2 linked regions of the Coturnix japonica genome follow. The protein of the gene in region 2 binds, or shares a complex with, the protein of the main gene of each other region. Links are inferred from orthologs where the notes say so. Each region holds a gene or a part of one and is shown on either strand. Other genes may lie near its edges.

Evidence for each region. The genes of interacting proteins can lie anywhere in the genome.
Region 1: BUD13 (region 2) and PPIL2 share a complex: the UniProt entries of both Homo sapiens proteins name them as parts of the minor spliceosome. The link is inferred for Coturnix japonica from reciprocal best matches to the Homo sapiens genes BUD13 and PPIL2.

What each region holds. Positions count from the first base shown.
Region 1 is NC_029530.1:445,308-451,731, forward strand, and holds part of PPIL2 (RING-type E3 ubiquitin-protein ligase PPIL2), read right to left. Parts: intron 3,224-6,424; exon of another isoform or gene 3,066-3,223; intron 2,745-3,065; exon of another isoform or gene 2,571-2,744; coding exon 2,498-2,570; exon of another isoform or gene 2,364-2,497; coding exon 2,301-2,363; exon of another isoform or gene 1,826-2,300; coding exon 1,686-1,825; intron 1,183-1,685; coding exon 1,089-1,182; 3' UTR 1-1,088. UniProt on the Homo sapiens protein: Has a ubiquitin-protein ligase activity acting as an E3 ubiquitin protein ligase or as an ubiquitin-ubiquitin ligase promoting elongation of ubiquitin chains on substrates.
Region 2 is NC_029539.1:4,396,171-4,403,767, forward strand, and holds the end of BUD13 (BUD13 homolog), read right to left. Parts: intron 7,330-7,597; coding exon 6,527-7,329; intron 6,178-6,526; coding exon 6,069-6,177; intron 5,949-6,068; coding exon 5,855-5,948; intron 5,519-5,854; coding exon 5,413-5,518; intron 5,034-5,412; coding exon 4,895-5,033; intron 4,674-4,894; coding exon 4,489-4,673; intron 4,338-4,488; coding exon 4,256-4,337; intron 3,919-4,255; coding exon 3,825-3,918; 3' UTR 2,909-3,824; downstream 1-2,908. UniProt on the Homo sapiens protein: Involved in pre-mRNA splicing as component of the activated spliceosome. As a component of the minor spliceosome, involved in the splicing of U12-type introns in pre-mRNAs.

The sequences.
Region 1 (6,424 bases), on a different chromosome or scaffold from region 2:
TCTTAAACCACTGATAGCAACGTGCTGGTTGCAAAGGCGACTACAAAACCACCTCCTCAGCCAGACAGGGCAGGGCACTGCTGTGCTCTGAAAACACCCGAGAACACTGAGAAGTTGTGTTCAGGATCTACTGCACCACCTGCAAGTGATGGTAGCACACATTACATCTCCCAGGCTGGCATTTCTGCACTCTGTAAGGCCTTTCGTAAGCATCCTAACTGTGTGGCTATGGAAGGAAATACTGGAGATGCCTGTGCAAGGAGCAGCCCTCGGGGATGGCTAAAAAAAAATGCTGTGATGCTGTTTCTGTTCCCACTCAGCTGTTCCAGGCTGTCAGTTCTGGACCCAGAGGGCAGCTCTGAAGTGGGGCAGCCCAGCCCCCCAGCTGCCCAGGGGCTCCAGCGAGGCCAGCAGCCAGAGGAGCGCACAGTGCTGCAGCAGCAGGCACACTGCTCACTGCACAGCCCCACTGCTTCCCAGTGCTCGAGATCACGTGGGTGCAGACACAGCTCATTTCAGAGTGAGCGGGGCCCTGTGGACACTGACAGCAGCCAATCCAGCCAGGAGGCAGAAGGAACATGTGGAATTGGTCCTTTCTGAGAAGAAGCAAAATGCAGCTGGAAGGGAGAAGCAGGACAGGCTGCAGCCCAGCCCTGTCCTCCCCTGCACAGCGCCTTCCAGCAGCTCAGGCGCTTCCCCAACACACCAATTTGTCCAGCAGACCTGGCTTGCCTGGAAATGATTACCTGTAAATGAAGCTCTTTCACAGTGCAGCTGTTATTGAGGCAGCGTCCTGCAAAGCTGGGCTCTGCCTGGGCTGCTGCTGGCTGTGCAGAGAAAGGCTGCAGCTAATCCCCAGCGGAGCTGTGCTCCCTGCTCAGCTGAACAACAACAAAAAGGCCTTCCAGAAAGATGCAGTTGGGGGAACGCAGATCTCCTGAAAACAAAGCCACATTAACCAGCCTTAACAAAGCAACAGTTTTCTTCTACAGTGAATGCGGGTGCCTTCCCTCTCCACAGGACAAATGGTCTTTCGGGCTCTTCATGGCCATGTGGGAGGCTGCCTCTTCTTTTTTGCTGTGCTGCTGCTACCAGGAGCTGAAGTCCCCAAAGCCTGTGCTCTTCTTCTCTTTCTTTGCAGCTGTGCTTGTTGAGGGCCCATCATCTTCCACGCTGCGCTTCCTGGAACCAAAATGAAAACACCCCTTAGGGACTATTTACTGCTGGGTGGGAGCAGGGCAGCTGGCTGCCTTGCCTCTCCCTGCAACAGCTACACTGGAGCCAGCTATGAATCAGAGAGGAGTGCGCACCCTGCACTGGCACAGCAGGGCTGGGGCTTCTGGCTCACCCAGACAGTCTGCAGGGATGCTCGTGTCAGGCCTTGAGCACTTCCAGGAATGTGTTCAAACCCCAGCAAGTTCTCCGGGTCAGAGCAGAAGATTTAACAGTCACTTTTTTAGCACAGTTGCTGAAAGTTTGAGCCACAAGAGCTGCCCCCACTTCTCACCCAGTCATGTGGAAGCAGAAGGATTATGGGGAACTAGGTGTAAAGCAGCTGGCTAAGTCTGCTCCTTGTGTGTGGCATGCTCTAGCAGGTAGCCCCGAGAAACAGCAACGGGCAAGGTCAGCATCCAGCAGGAAAGGCAACTAAAACTGAACAAAGATCTGCTGGGCAGGGAACTTACGCTGCAGCCATGTTAATGTATTTTCCAACTCCCTGCCGGTAAGTTTTAGGAGTCTGGACCTCTTTCTTTAGTGGGACCATCTCAGCTTTTGTTTTGGCTGCTTCTTCTTCCAGCTGAACCTTCTCTCTTTCTGCAGCAACCTATGGGAAGCAGAGTGAAATCTGTTACAACAGCTCGTCCAGAGTAAGGAGACCATGACTGTAGTTCTTTGAAGCTCTACAGCACTCTAAGACAGCAATCAGCATTGCTGCAATTACAGGGTTGACGTTAGGAAATGGACCTCAAGAGCCACTACAAACCTGCTGTCTGCAGCCATTACAATAAAACTTTCCCACCTCCACACATAGTGGGCATTTGGAAAGGAAGCTACTGTTAATGGTGAGGAGGGGAACTGTGCCAGACCGAGCTCCAAAGACCTCTCAGCTGAAACAGCAGCGGTGCTCCCTGCACACAATGCAATGTAAGGAGCAGCTGTTCCAATTTACCTTGTGCCCGTGTGGTCCAGAGCCTCCAGCATGCAGGGGTGGTGCAAAGAGGAGGCACAGAAAAGTGTATGGTCTCCACAAGGGATCAACCAGGGCAAAAACTGAAAAAATGAAGGAACGCCATCCTCACCTGCGCATCTGCCTCCTCATACGGGTCAACAAAAACAGTTGTTGCCTCGATTCGTATTTCCTCCTGCAAACAGAAGAGGAGAACATTGACTCTCTGGTTAAACTGCACCATCTGGCCCAGGGAAGCAGCAGCAGCAGCAGGGTGACCACGCCATGCAGCTCTCTATCCCCACACAGCTCCCGTCACTTCCCACTTACCTTGGGACGGTCCGTCTTGGGGTCACTTTCCACGTTCTCCATAGCAGTCAGAGTCTCAAAGCCGCCGACCACTCTAAGAGAGAAAGACAACTTCCAGCTGTCACAGCATCACCGAGACATCCAACACTCCCACATCCAACATCGTCTCTGCCCACCCACTCCCCCAGACTTTTACACCGCTGTGTTCAGGGGAAGGGATCAGCAACTGCATTTGGAAAACTTGAGATAATGTCACGCAAGATGGAAGGTAAGATTCTTTTCTCTCAGATCTGGGATCTGAGTTTAAGTTTAAACACAGTAAGGAAAAGTCAAATATTCAGAGAGAATGCAAAGATATCTCCTCCCAAACAGGGCAGCCCTTTTGTGCAAAGAAAGCAGCCAGATGGAGAAGGAGCAACTGTGGACAGCTGTGTGTGCAAGAAAAAACAAATCCATTGCAAAATGGCTTCATTTGCTAGTGTTACATCCATACATTTGTATCTCAAATGTTACTATGAGCTTTGAAAACTAGACCGGACTGGGTCAAGAAAGCAATTGTTTTCATTAACTTCCCATTTTTTGCTTGCAGTGATGAACCTGGGGGGGCTTTGGGAAGGCAGCAGAGCATCGCATCGTGGACACCCCTCATCATGGGCTGTATTGAAGAGGATCCCCGGCTGCTCATTTTTCAATACAACGTATCCAAATATTTGCTTTGAAACATTAAAAGGAGCCTGAAGACTTGTGGTCTGTTGTTGGTGCTTTATTCCTGTCCCCTCCTTATCCAAAAAAGAAGCACGGAACAATGGGAAAATTCCAGAAAAGGATTTTTAGATAGGATAAATGGCTGATCCAGATAATTATAAGCCCGTCTTCCTGGCATCTATCCCAGCAAAATAATGTAATAGTGGAGACAGGACATGATTAAGAAAGAAAGGAAATAAGTAACGGCAATCAACAAGGTTCTGTGGAAAACAGAGTCTGCCAGGCAGCGTTCTATCTCTGAGCCACCAGATGTGGTTAATAGGGATAACAGCGTCAGTGGAACGGACTTCTGGAAGGTGCTGATATTTTGATGGAGAAACCAGAATGATGCAAACACAGCACGCGTTAAATCTAAAGTCTGGCTGACAGGTGTGAAAATCTGCCTTCAAATAGGAACCACTGAGTCAGTTTGTTTCCAGGGGGTCCTGCTGGGATCACATCTTGGTCCCAAGGTATTTACCGGTTTTATCCACATCACTGTCCTCAATTAAATGTGAAAACAGCTATACCTAGAACAGCAGTAAATAAAGCCCACTGATGCCGGGGGGATCCAGAGCCTTTAGAAATGCAGGCTGTAGCTGGACAACATCTGTGTTAACACAGCCAGGCCACATCCAGGAACCAAAACCACAGCCCATACGAGTGTCTGTGGGACAACAAGGAGCAGCCTGAGCTTATGGAGCCAGCAGAGCTCAGGGCTGCACCTCACTGCACCACCTGGCTAACACAGCAATAACCATGACCAACACAAAGACCTGGCTGCAGAAAGCACAGCTGAGTTCCAGAGGCTGCTGCCAATCACCTGCCTGAACAGGTCCCTGCAAACACTTTGTTGTTGTTTGAGCGTTCCAAACTTCTCTCAGTTCCCCAAAGGTGTGTTAATATTCTGCAATCAGGTCGTGACTTCTAAGAGCAATTAAAATACATGAATGCAGGCTGGAACAGATGCATTCATTTGCAGCTGGAGATATCACACTGGGGGAACCTCCTGAGAGCAGAGGGGGTTTGACAACCCTGCACTGGCTTCAGCAGCTTCGTAATAGAAAACTCAATTTCAAAGCCCTCCTTGGGCCAATATCAGATCTACTTTTAATACCAGTGATTAACACACAGCCTAAGATACATTCACCGTATTTTAATTACCCCTAAAGGAAACTTCTGATCTAATACTGGAGGATTTTCTAGCCGACAGCTCCATTCATTATCTGCCTGTGTGTTTCCATTTAATTAGGTTCTGATCATTTAAAATAGTCAGATCAGCTGTGACTAGCAATTCAATCGAGTAATCCCTCAGCCCATAGCTAGACTTCCCACAATATTACCCCTAATGCATTTTGGCAACACTCACAAACCTTCACTTGCTGCGCTAATTTAACGTTACTGGGAATAGTTCGTCACTCGCACATTTGACATCAGTGATGGATGTGGCATTCACAGGGCAGCAGGGAAGGAACAAAATGCCACCTGGCTGACGTGGTTAGAGAGTGTCAGGAGAGAAGACAAAGGTATTATCCTCATGATGGTTTGGTGGCTTCTACATCCACTGCTCAGATGTCAACAAGAATCAAGCAGACATTGCTAGTCAGCGCTTCTTACAGGGCCTTTGTTGTTTTACTGCCTTCCATGACTTTTCCTGTTAGCGGTAAAGACTGCATTGAAATAAAAGAATCTGTATGACGTTGCAAGGTTCAGGCACCAAATCAGCTTTGCTTACAACTGCAGACGTGCCCTGCAGGAGGGAGGAGCTGCCGGCACTTCCTTTCATCTGCAGCACCAGCAGCCAGTGAAACATGTTGGCATTTGGTGCTTTGGTGCTGGTGCCTGCAGTGACAAACTGGCCATTTTGTGCCAACTGATCCAAAGAAAAGTCAGCTCTGGTTCCAGACAGCAGCTTCCCTTCATTTCATGTATCATGTCTAGCAAGGGTGCTCCTCAATCACAAGTGGCAGCACAACGTTGTTCTCCCCTCGCTGCAGCTGTGGGCCCGCACAGCAGGTCATTCTCTTTCCTTCTTCAACTTCTCTTCTCCACAACACAGCACTGTTTTCTCTCTTTTGCCTCTTTGCCTCTAATGCTTTCCACAGAAAGTACATCCATGTGTGCTGCAGCATCAGCACAGTGAGCTCTCAGTATTGGTTTGTGTCTTCCCATACTGTGATAAAACTGCTCACAGAAATGAATCTGAATACAAGCCCGGTGCTGAGACAAGACAGCAGTACAGTAAAGCACTAAAAAACCTTCTAAAATGAGAGGCACTGCTTAACGTTACTTAAATAGCCCACTGACTTTGAAGAGATAAGACCTGCAGCATGAACAACTGTGAGTCTCAGCATGAAGAGCCCTGCAGGTAATTTTCATTAAGACAGAAGGTAAAGGCCATGGGCTCAGGCTGCACGTGCAGCAGACACGGAGCACTGAGGGCACTGCTGCCAGCAAGGGGGTCAGCTGAGGAGCAGCAATGAGGTCCCCCCGCTGCACTGTCTGTGGCTGTGCTCCTCAGATAAGGTGCCGTGCATGCTCTGTCCTAAATGGACCATGAAAGTTTCTGTCAGGTTTAAACAGCAGTTCAGAAGACAGCCCACAATGGAAAAGGTGACACCTTCAAGTCACCATCTACATGAGAACAAGCAGTGAAACAGGGTTTGCTGTCTGTCTCCAGTAGATGCTGAACAGAGCAATGATGACCTCAGCTATATATTTAGCTCGGTGTCCCTGAGGCAGCTCCTTGTGCTTTTAGAGGAGCGTGACAAATGTTGCACTGCACTCACACGTGGGGGGTGAACTGGGTACGTTTACATTTTTTCTGTTAGAAAAGTAATGAAAAACATGCTCTTACCAATGCAATGCAGTTGTACTGAACACCCAGCTAAGCTCGCACTGGAAATCTTTGCATCCCAAATTTAGAGATGTTATTTAAAATCCTACTTCACATTACAGATCTTTTATTATGCAAACCAGTAACCATCCTGCAGTCACTGCCAAAGACTTTGCACGAAGTGCAAGAGGAACATGTGGAGAAAGCTCAATTCATTTGCAATACGCCAAGGAACTCTCACTGCTACACCAGCACTGTCCCTACAGACACAGCAGCTCCTGAGCAGCCTCACAGCCATTCACACACGAACTTATAGTTCTCAAACTCGTGTTTAGAAGAGCAGCAGGAACTGCGCCTTACGCGGTGCT
Region 2 (7,597 bases):
CTCATTTGCATAATAATTACTCTGCTTGGTGTTTGCCATGACTGTGAATGACAGTGTTTTAAATTAAATTAAGATTTTAATATTCCTTTTTCTTTTTTTTTTTTTTTCTTGGTTAAAGCTAATCAAAGTCGCTGTTAAGATGCCAAGAAAGGGACTGCTGCCCTTCCAGAAACAATAATCAAGTGATCCACTCCCCAGCACTGCTCACTTTGTCTCTATATCACCCCTCTCATCCCAAAGGATCCCAGAGTGTTTCCCAATTTCTCTGCTGCCACAACCGCTCACACACAGCCATGTCAGACAGCAGAGCTGTGCCAAAGCAGGACGCAGACCAAGGGCAATGGGACAAGCCATACTCCCTCCTCCCTGGCCAACACATGTTGCATTCACAGGGTCAGAATGAGAAGGCATACATAGGGAACAACTTGTGTGCTCAGACCTCAGGTGGGGCTCCAGAATACGCAGCACACCCCAAACACCCCTTAGCACATGTGTGCTGCGGCGCCCAGAGCTGCACTTATACCTTATGCATCCAGCCCTGGGCAGGGGCAGCCCTCTGTGCCACAGGCAAGGCCAAACCCGGTGTGCCAGCACCCTCTGCCGGCTGAAATGGCCTGGTGGGGGGAGGCAGCACTCATCCTCACCGCCCTCCTGTTCCCTCTTGAGGTGTACGAGCTCTCATCAAGGTGCAGGCAGCTTTCCTCTTCTCACTGTCCAACTCAGATGCGTTGGATACCTTGCACACGAAGCCACCATCCCACATACTGGATCCTGCAGTCATCACAAGAGATACCAGAGCCCAGCTCCATACTCACAAAGGGTTTCTGCTGCCTTTGGAGTCACTCTGAGAGGAAAAGGGCAGATGTATTCACACTCACTTGTGTCAGATCTTACTGCCCACGCAGAGCTGTGTCCCCAGCCCCCCCTCTCCACTCTTCAGACACAGATGGGACACTGCAAAGCAGCTCTGGGCTGGAGGTGTTCCAATCCAGCCTGTTTGCAGACACACGTGATCCACCAACAGACGGAGACAGGCAGCTCCCCTGGCCCTCCTGAAGCTGCAGAGCCATTTCAAAGCCCGTATGTTATTATCCACAACAGCCATCACAGCATTTGACAATTTGCATCTGGGCAACGATACAAAAGGCTTCATTTTTATGTGTAAATTACACCAGCTAAACTCTCCTGTACTCCACTGCTTTGCACAGATATATCTTAGCAAGAAAGTCTCCGGTAATAAAACCATAATACACATATTATAAATTCAGCACTGTAATGAACTCTGCTATAAGGTCCCCGTGGTAGTAATAAACATCTGTACCTACATCTACAATTTTAAAACTGCAGCCTTGAAAAGAAGTTGAGAAAGTCTTCAATGCTCCACTTGTATGCCAGCTCCTGAACCGCCTTCTCATTGGCCATCCTGGCAAAGTACTGCTGCTCAAATCCATTAGACCTACAAAATAACACCAACAAGACCATGGGCTACTGTGCACATCTACTAGAGCTCCCTTTTGTCCCAGAGCATGTCCCTACCAGCCATTCATGACTGTAAGCAATGATAAGATTGAATGCATTGCATCTCACTAACTGTAAACTCTCTAAGTCAAAAGCTCATTTAGTTTTACTACCAATGACATCAGTGTATCAGGAATACCCACCAGTCCACGCCATCCCAGCGATGCCCAGGCCATATATTAAATCTGTTGAGAGGAGGTGCTGGCCCACTGTACCTAGGTTTCTCTAGAGACAGAAACAGCACTACAGCCATTTGTTTCTTCAGTGCAATCCTGTGGTCACATTATCCCCAGCCTGGAACATATACACAGACCCAAAGCACTGGCTGCATTATAGCCAAAGAGCTCACAGTGGAAACTCCAGACAATACCATTAAAAAAGCTGAAGTTTGTTGACTACTTAAGTCACTAGATACTGCACTCTAAGCAGTAACAGAAAGTGCTAACAGGTCAATAAAAGAAGATGCCACTGTGGCACTAAATCCTGAAGGAGAACTTGAGGACTCAGCTTTACCTGTGTGAATTCATCAGCATGCCTGGATGCCAACCAACACAGATGCTCCCCAGCAACACTTTAACTACCAGCCCTCTAAGACAAACCCTGATACAGCATTAACAGGCAGCCAAAAGCAGATGTTGTACAGTGGTTTGAGACCTTTACCTTCCAAGTACTTGCTACTTCTCTCCTGCTTCCTGAGCTCCTGCTGCTCTCTCCACAGCATGTCAGCTGACACCAAGCCAGCTTTGACCCCAGACATCATCTTGGCCTGCAAATCAAACAAGAATCACATTTCACTGCTTATAATAGTAAAAACATTCAGGCAGTAATGACAGCAAGATCCACCCTCACCTCCTAAAAGCTTCCACTGTTTGTTCTGAACTCCTCCATGAGCTTCACTTCATCTGGATGCTCATCAATAAACTGCCACCTGAAGCTCAGATAACAGACCAAACAAACAGCTTAAGACAATAAAGAAAGAGATCCATGCTCTCTAAACAAAAGGGTCCGGTGGAGCAGCTTGGGAGCTTCTTCTTGCAGCGGTGGCGTTCAGTTGTGAGGTACAGTGGTGACACTCATTGGTAGAGCATCTCAGGCTCACAACCTTCCGATGCTGTTGCTATGTAACCCTTCCATACAATGTCTGTTACCAACCCGTTGTTTTTAGTTAGAAATGCTTTCTTGCAATCAGGGATGGAGCGCAGCGCTCTGCTTGGCCTCCAGCTGCAAGCTGGACAAATCTAATCACAAGAGAGAGGTTATGCTTCGTGCTGAAGCGAGCCCCCAGGCAGCAGCGCTAAGAGCCATCAGCAAGGCTGTCCAGAGAGAAAGCTGTAGGGACTAATCCATGACCATTAGCTACTCTGAAGAAAATAATGGCCAAGGGAAACAGTTTAAATGGCCTCTGCGTGTTTATTGCCACAAGAAATTGACCCCCAAGGAGCTGCTGGAGCTTCTGAAGACTTTGCTGTCAAATATAACATGGCGTGTTGTTCATTCAGCCATTTCTAGTAGAGAACTAGAGTTATATGTACAGCAAGCAGCTTCTTGCCACATACTGACCCACCTGGCACAGCTCCCATAAGGGCTACAGGAAGCTCTGCTGTGCTAACTTCACTGCAAGCCAAAGACTCCAGGAACCAGAAGGGTTAAGAGTTACACAACATTGAACAAGCAGAAGCTCTCTGGGCTCATTAGCAAGGACATGGAGAACATGGGGCAGACATAACATGAGCCCACAGGTAAATCAGCTCACAGTATTAAGTTGTTTCAGAGCAAAAAACACCCTCTGGAAGAACTCAGCCATAGCTGAAACCACAACCGTGTGCTGCAATAGGCCAACACACCAGATAGGATTAACCCTCCATGACTTAAATCCCAGCATGCTTCCACCATGAAATAAACCTGAGATTTAGGACATCTGAAGACCTGTCAACTGCCTTCAGAGGACAAAGCATTTGGCATAGAACATTTCAACACAGTTTCTACAGTTTATTAGTAAAGAAATAAGTGGGTCAGACACCAGTGTCTGCAGCACCTCATGAAGGAACACCAGGGAGCAGAAGTGTTCCTCTGTGGGCAGCAGCCACTCCAGTTTTTGGCACTGGTCCTTTCTGGCTGGCAGGAAAATCCTTTTCCAGCAGCTCTCCTCTAAACACAGCCTTGCTTCCAAGAAGACAATCCACTGGGATACTGAATGCCAAGAACAGTGCTTGGTCCAGGCAGAGGAGCCGTTACTTTTGGCTCTGGCAGTGGTAGCAGGCAGATCTCAATTCAGTCGTGCTGTTTCACATGGTTATTTCTTCTATCTACATGTCTTCAATGCTCCACTTGTATGCCAGCTCCTGAACTGCCTTCTTATTGGCCATCCTGGCAAAGAACTGCTGCTCAAATCCGTTGGACCTACAAAATAACACCAACAAGACCATGGGCTACCGTGCACATCTACTAAAGCCACAAAGCTTTTAAATGACATCACATGTTTGCCACTACTTTTGCATCAACACCTCCAGCTGAGTTTCCACTCTGAGCTGTGGCAAACAGCAGGCAGTGCCACAACAGATCAGAACAGAACCTGGCTCCCTTTTGTCCCAGACAAGCATGTCCCTACCAGCCATTCATAACCATGAGAAGTGTTAAGGTTGAATAAGTTGCATCTCACTCACTGTAAGCTCTCTGAGGCAAAAGCTCATTTAGTTTTACTACCATTCAATGACATCAGTGTATCAGGAATACCTACCTGTCCACCCCATCCCAGCGATACCCAGGCCATATATTAAATCTGTTGAGAGGAGGTGCTGGTCCACTGTACCTAGGTTTCTCTAGAGACAAAAACAGCAATACAGACATTGGTTACTACAATGCAATCTTCAGGACTCAGCTGCCACAGCAACCTCACACTGTTCACTGAACAGCAGCTGCATTTCTATGCTCCTTGGGCATTAAAACCTGCACCAGCACAGCTTTCCATACCTTTCTTCTCCTTGTTCTCTTTGGCTTTTCTTTTTTTGATGAACTCAGCCATGGGGTCTCCTTCTCTCTCTTGTTCTCTCAGCATTCGATCCAGATCTTCATCGTCAATGTAACGGGCCAATGGTTTCTGCATTTCTTTTATTGCATCTTCCACATTCTGCTGCTGCTGCCTTTCCTGTGCTAATCTAAAAACACATACAAAGTACCACCTCAAAACTAAGGAATAATTTACTGCCATCTGCTCAAATTGTAGTATTGATCAGAATCTACTGTGTGTAGCATCCCTGAGAAGCACCCAGCAACAGACAGGGTAATCCCACACAAAATAACCTGGTCCCAGGCACAAAACTCATTGCCAACCCCCAGTCTGCAACCTGTAAAGTGACATGTCACCAAGACACCTTACCCCTTTCCCCATCTGGCATATTGCTCATCATGCAACAACTTTGCTTCATCTTTCTGCTTCTGCTCAAGACGTTCCTGCACAAGGTCCCTCTTGCGGCCTGACTTGTCGCGGAAGATGGTTTCCGTGTGTCGGGATTCCTCTAGGGATAACAGATATCCTGAGTCACTCACGTGGGAATATTTCAGTTTCCAAACCACTCCATAGCTCATGCAATGAGCTATAGGTGTAACAGCCTGCTCCTTCAGATCAGGAATAGCAGATGGGGCAGATGAGACACAAAAGCCTCACAATTGTCTCATTGGCACCTCTTTGAAATCACCACTCATAAATTTCTATTTTAGAGACCCAGTGGCTTTTACCTGTGTATATTCATCAGCATGCCTGGATGCCAGCCAACACAGACACTCTCCATCAACACCCTTACTACCAGCATTTTAAGACATGCCCTGATACAGCATTAACAGGCAGCCAAAAGCAGACTAAAAGCTGATGTCTGTGCACTGGTTTCAGACTTTTACCTTCCAAGTGCTTGCTACTTCTCTCCTGCTTCCTGAGCTCCTGCTGCTCTTTCCGCAGCACGTCAGCTGACACCAAACCAGCTTTGACCCCAGACATCATCTTGGCCTGCAAATCAAACAAGAATCACATTTACTGCTGGCTGAGAGCTGCCCAGTGACTCACAGGTATGATAAGGGGAAGTTACACGAGAGGCAGCTCTGTTACAAAGCCACTTTGCTGCCATCTTTGCAAACAGCTTCCACAGACTTCCAGAAATACAGAGTGCTCATGCAGAGCTCATCTTCCATCTACCTCACACGTGGTCTTATGGCAAACTGACAGTGTGGCACAGCTGCATTTACAAGCTATATATCTGCTCTACCATCTGTAAGCCATCACACTGTTAATGATTGCTATCAGAGGAAGCAATCTTCAGCACAGACGGAAAGACAAACCCCTTACCTTCTTGGGAGATCCCTTCTCATCTGGGTAGCGATGATCTGAGAGATTGGAGGGACTCCTTGAACCACGCTGACCCTTTCCAGAAGGCAGAGCCCTTTGAGGATGAGAGAAATTGGAGCATGAAGACTTGCTCTAAACACATTTAAGAGGACCGTGCTTATGAGAATCACTCATAATTCACATTATGAGAATTCACATGTGGAATAGACCTAACCTGTGATTCTTCCGCTGGGGAGAAAGGTCTGCCTCAGAGGCACTTTGGGCACCTCTTCGTGGAGGTGGAGAATCAGAGTCATGACGCATCTTTTTTACCGAGGAAACATCTGCAACACAAACATACATTAATAAGAACCACCAGAGGCCTAAAGATGGTGACAGATGAGATAACCCACAGTAAAATCAAAACCTTCAGTGAGGTAAAGCTGTAGGGAAAGAACAAGCATTGACATCAGCCTTTATGTTCCATTCCTTCTGAACATGCACTGTTCAGAGACGAGGCTTAAACTTCATTTTCCCTTTGGACAAGCATTTAAGACTTACACAAATTACTTTTAGGTTAATTCTTCTCAAAGTAATCAGAATACAGCATGACAACAAGTTTTACCAACAGAAACAATAACCCATCCACCACAACTCTATGTTTTTGCATTACGCATTCTTATACATGCTCACCTTTTTTTCCCATTGCTGAACTGCTTCTTACAGGAGAGAGATCCGGAGAGTCGTGACGTTTCCTTCTGGGGGGTGACAGGTCGGGGGAGTCGTGACGTTTCCTTCTGGGGGGTGATAAGTCCGGAGAGTCATGGCGTTTCCTTCTAGGGGGTGACAGGTCAGGGGAGTCGTGACGTTTCCTCCTGGGAGGTGACAGGTCTGGAGAGTCATGGCGTTTCCTTCTGGGGGGTGATAAGTCTGGAGAGTCATGGCGTTTCTTTCTGGGGGGTGACAGGTCAGGGGAGTCATGGCGTTTCCTCCTGGGAGGTGACAGGTCTGGAGAGTCATGGCGTTTCCTTCTAGGGGGTGATAAGTCTGGAGAGTCGTGACGTTTCCTCCTGGGGGGTGACAAGTCTGGAGAGTCGTGGCGTTTCCTCCTGGGAGGTGACAGGTCTGGAGAGTCATGGCGTTTCCTTCTAGGGGGTGATAAGTCTGGAGAGTCATGACGTTTCCTTCTAGGGGGTGATAAGTCCGGAGAGTCATGGCGTTTCTTTCTGGGGGGTGACAGGTCTGGAGAGTCATGGCGTTTCCTTCTGGGAGGTGATAAGTCTGGAGAGTCATGACGTTTCCTCCTCGGGGGTGATAAGTCTGGGGAGTCGTGGCGTTTCCTCCTGGGAGGTGACAGGTCGGGGGAGTCACGCTGTCTTTGCTTGGAAGGTAAGAGGCTGGGAGAATCATTTCTTTCTTGTCTGAGTGGGGACAAATCTGGTGAGTCGTGCCGTACTCGCCTTGGTGGTGAGTTGTCTGGGGAGTCATGACGTTGCCTAAGAAAGTTAAATAAGAGTCAGCTTACTCATTTTCTTTTCTTGTCTTCAGAGTGGAAACAGAAATCAAATGAGATCTGTGAAGTCACCAGTAGGGTAACATACAGTGATCTGCATTACTGAGCAAGAGATTGCACAAGAACAATTCAAGAAGCACTCTGAGACGTCAATCAAAGAAAAACTCTTAACTGTATCACTTGAAGCCTTCATTAAACCTTATTATGCTCAAACTATAAACCCCACTCTGTGCCCTAGAATAATCATCTTC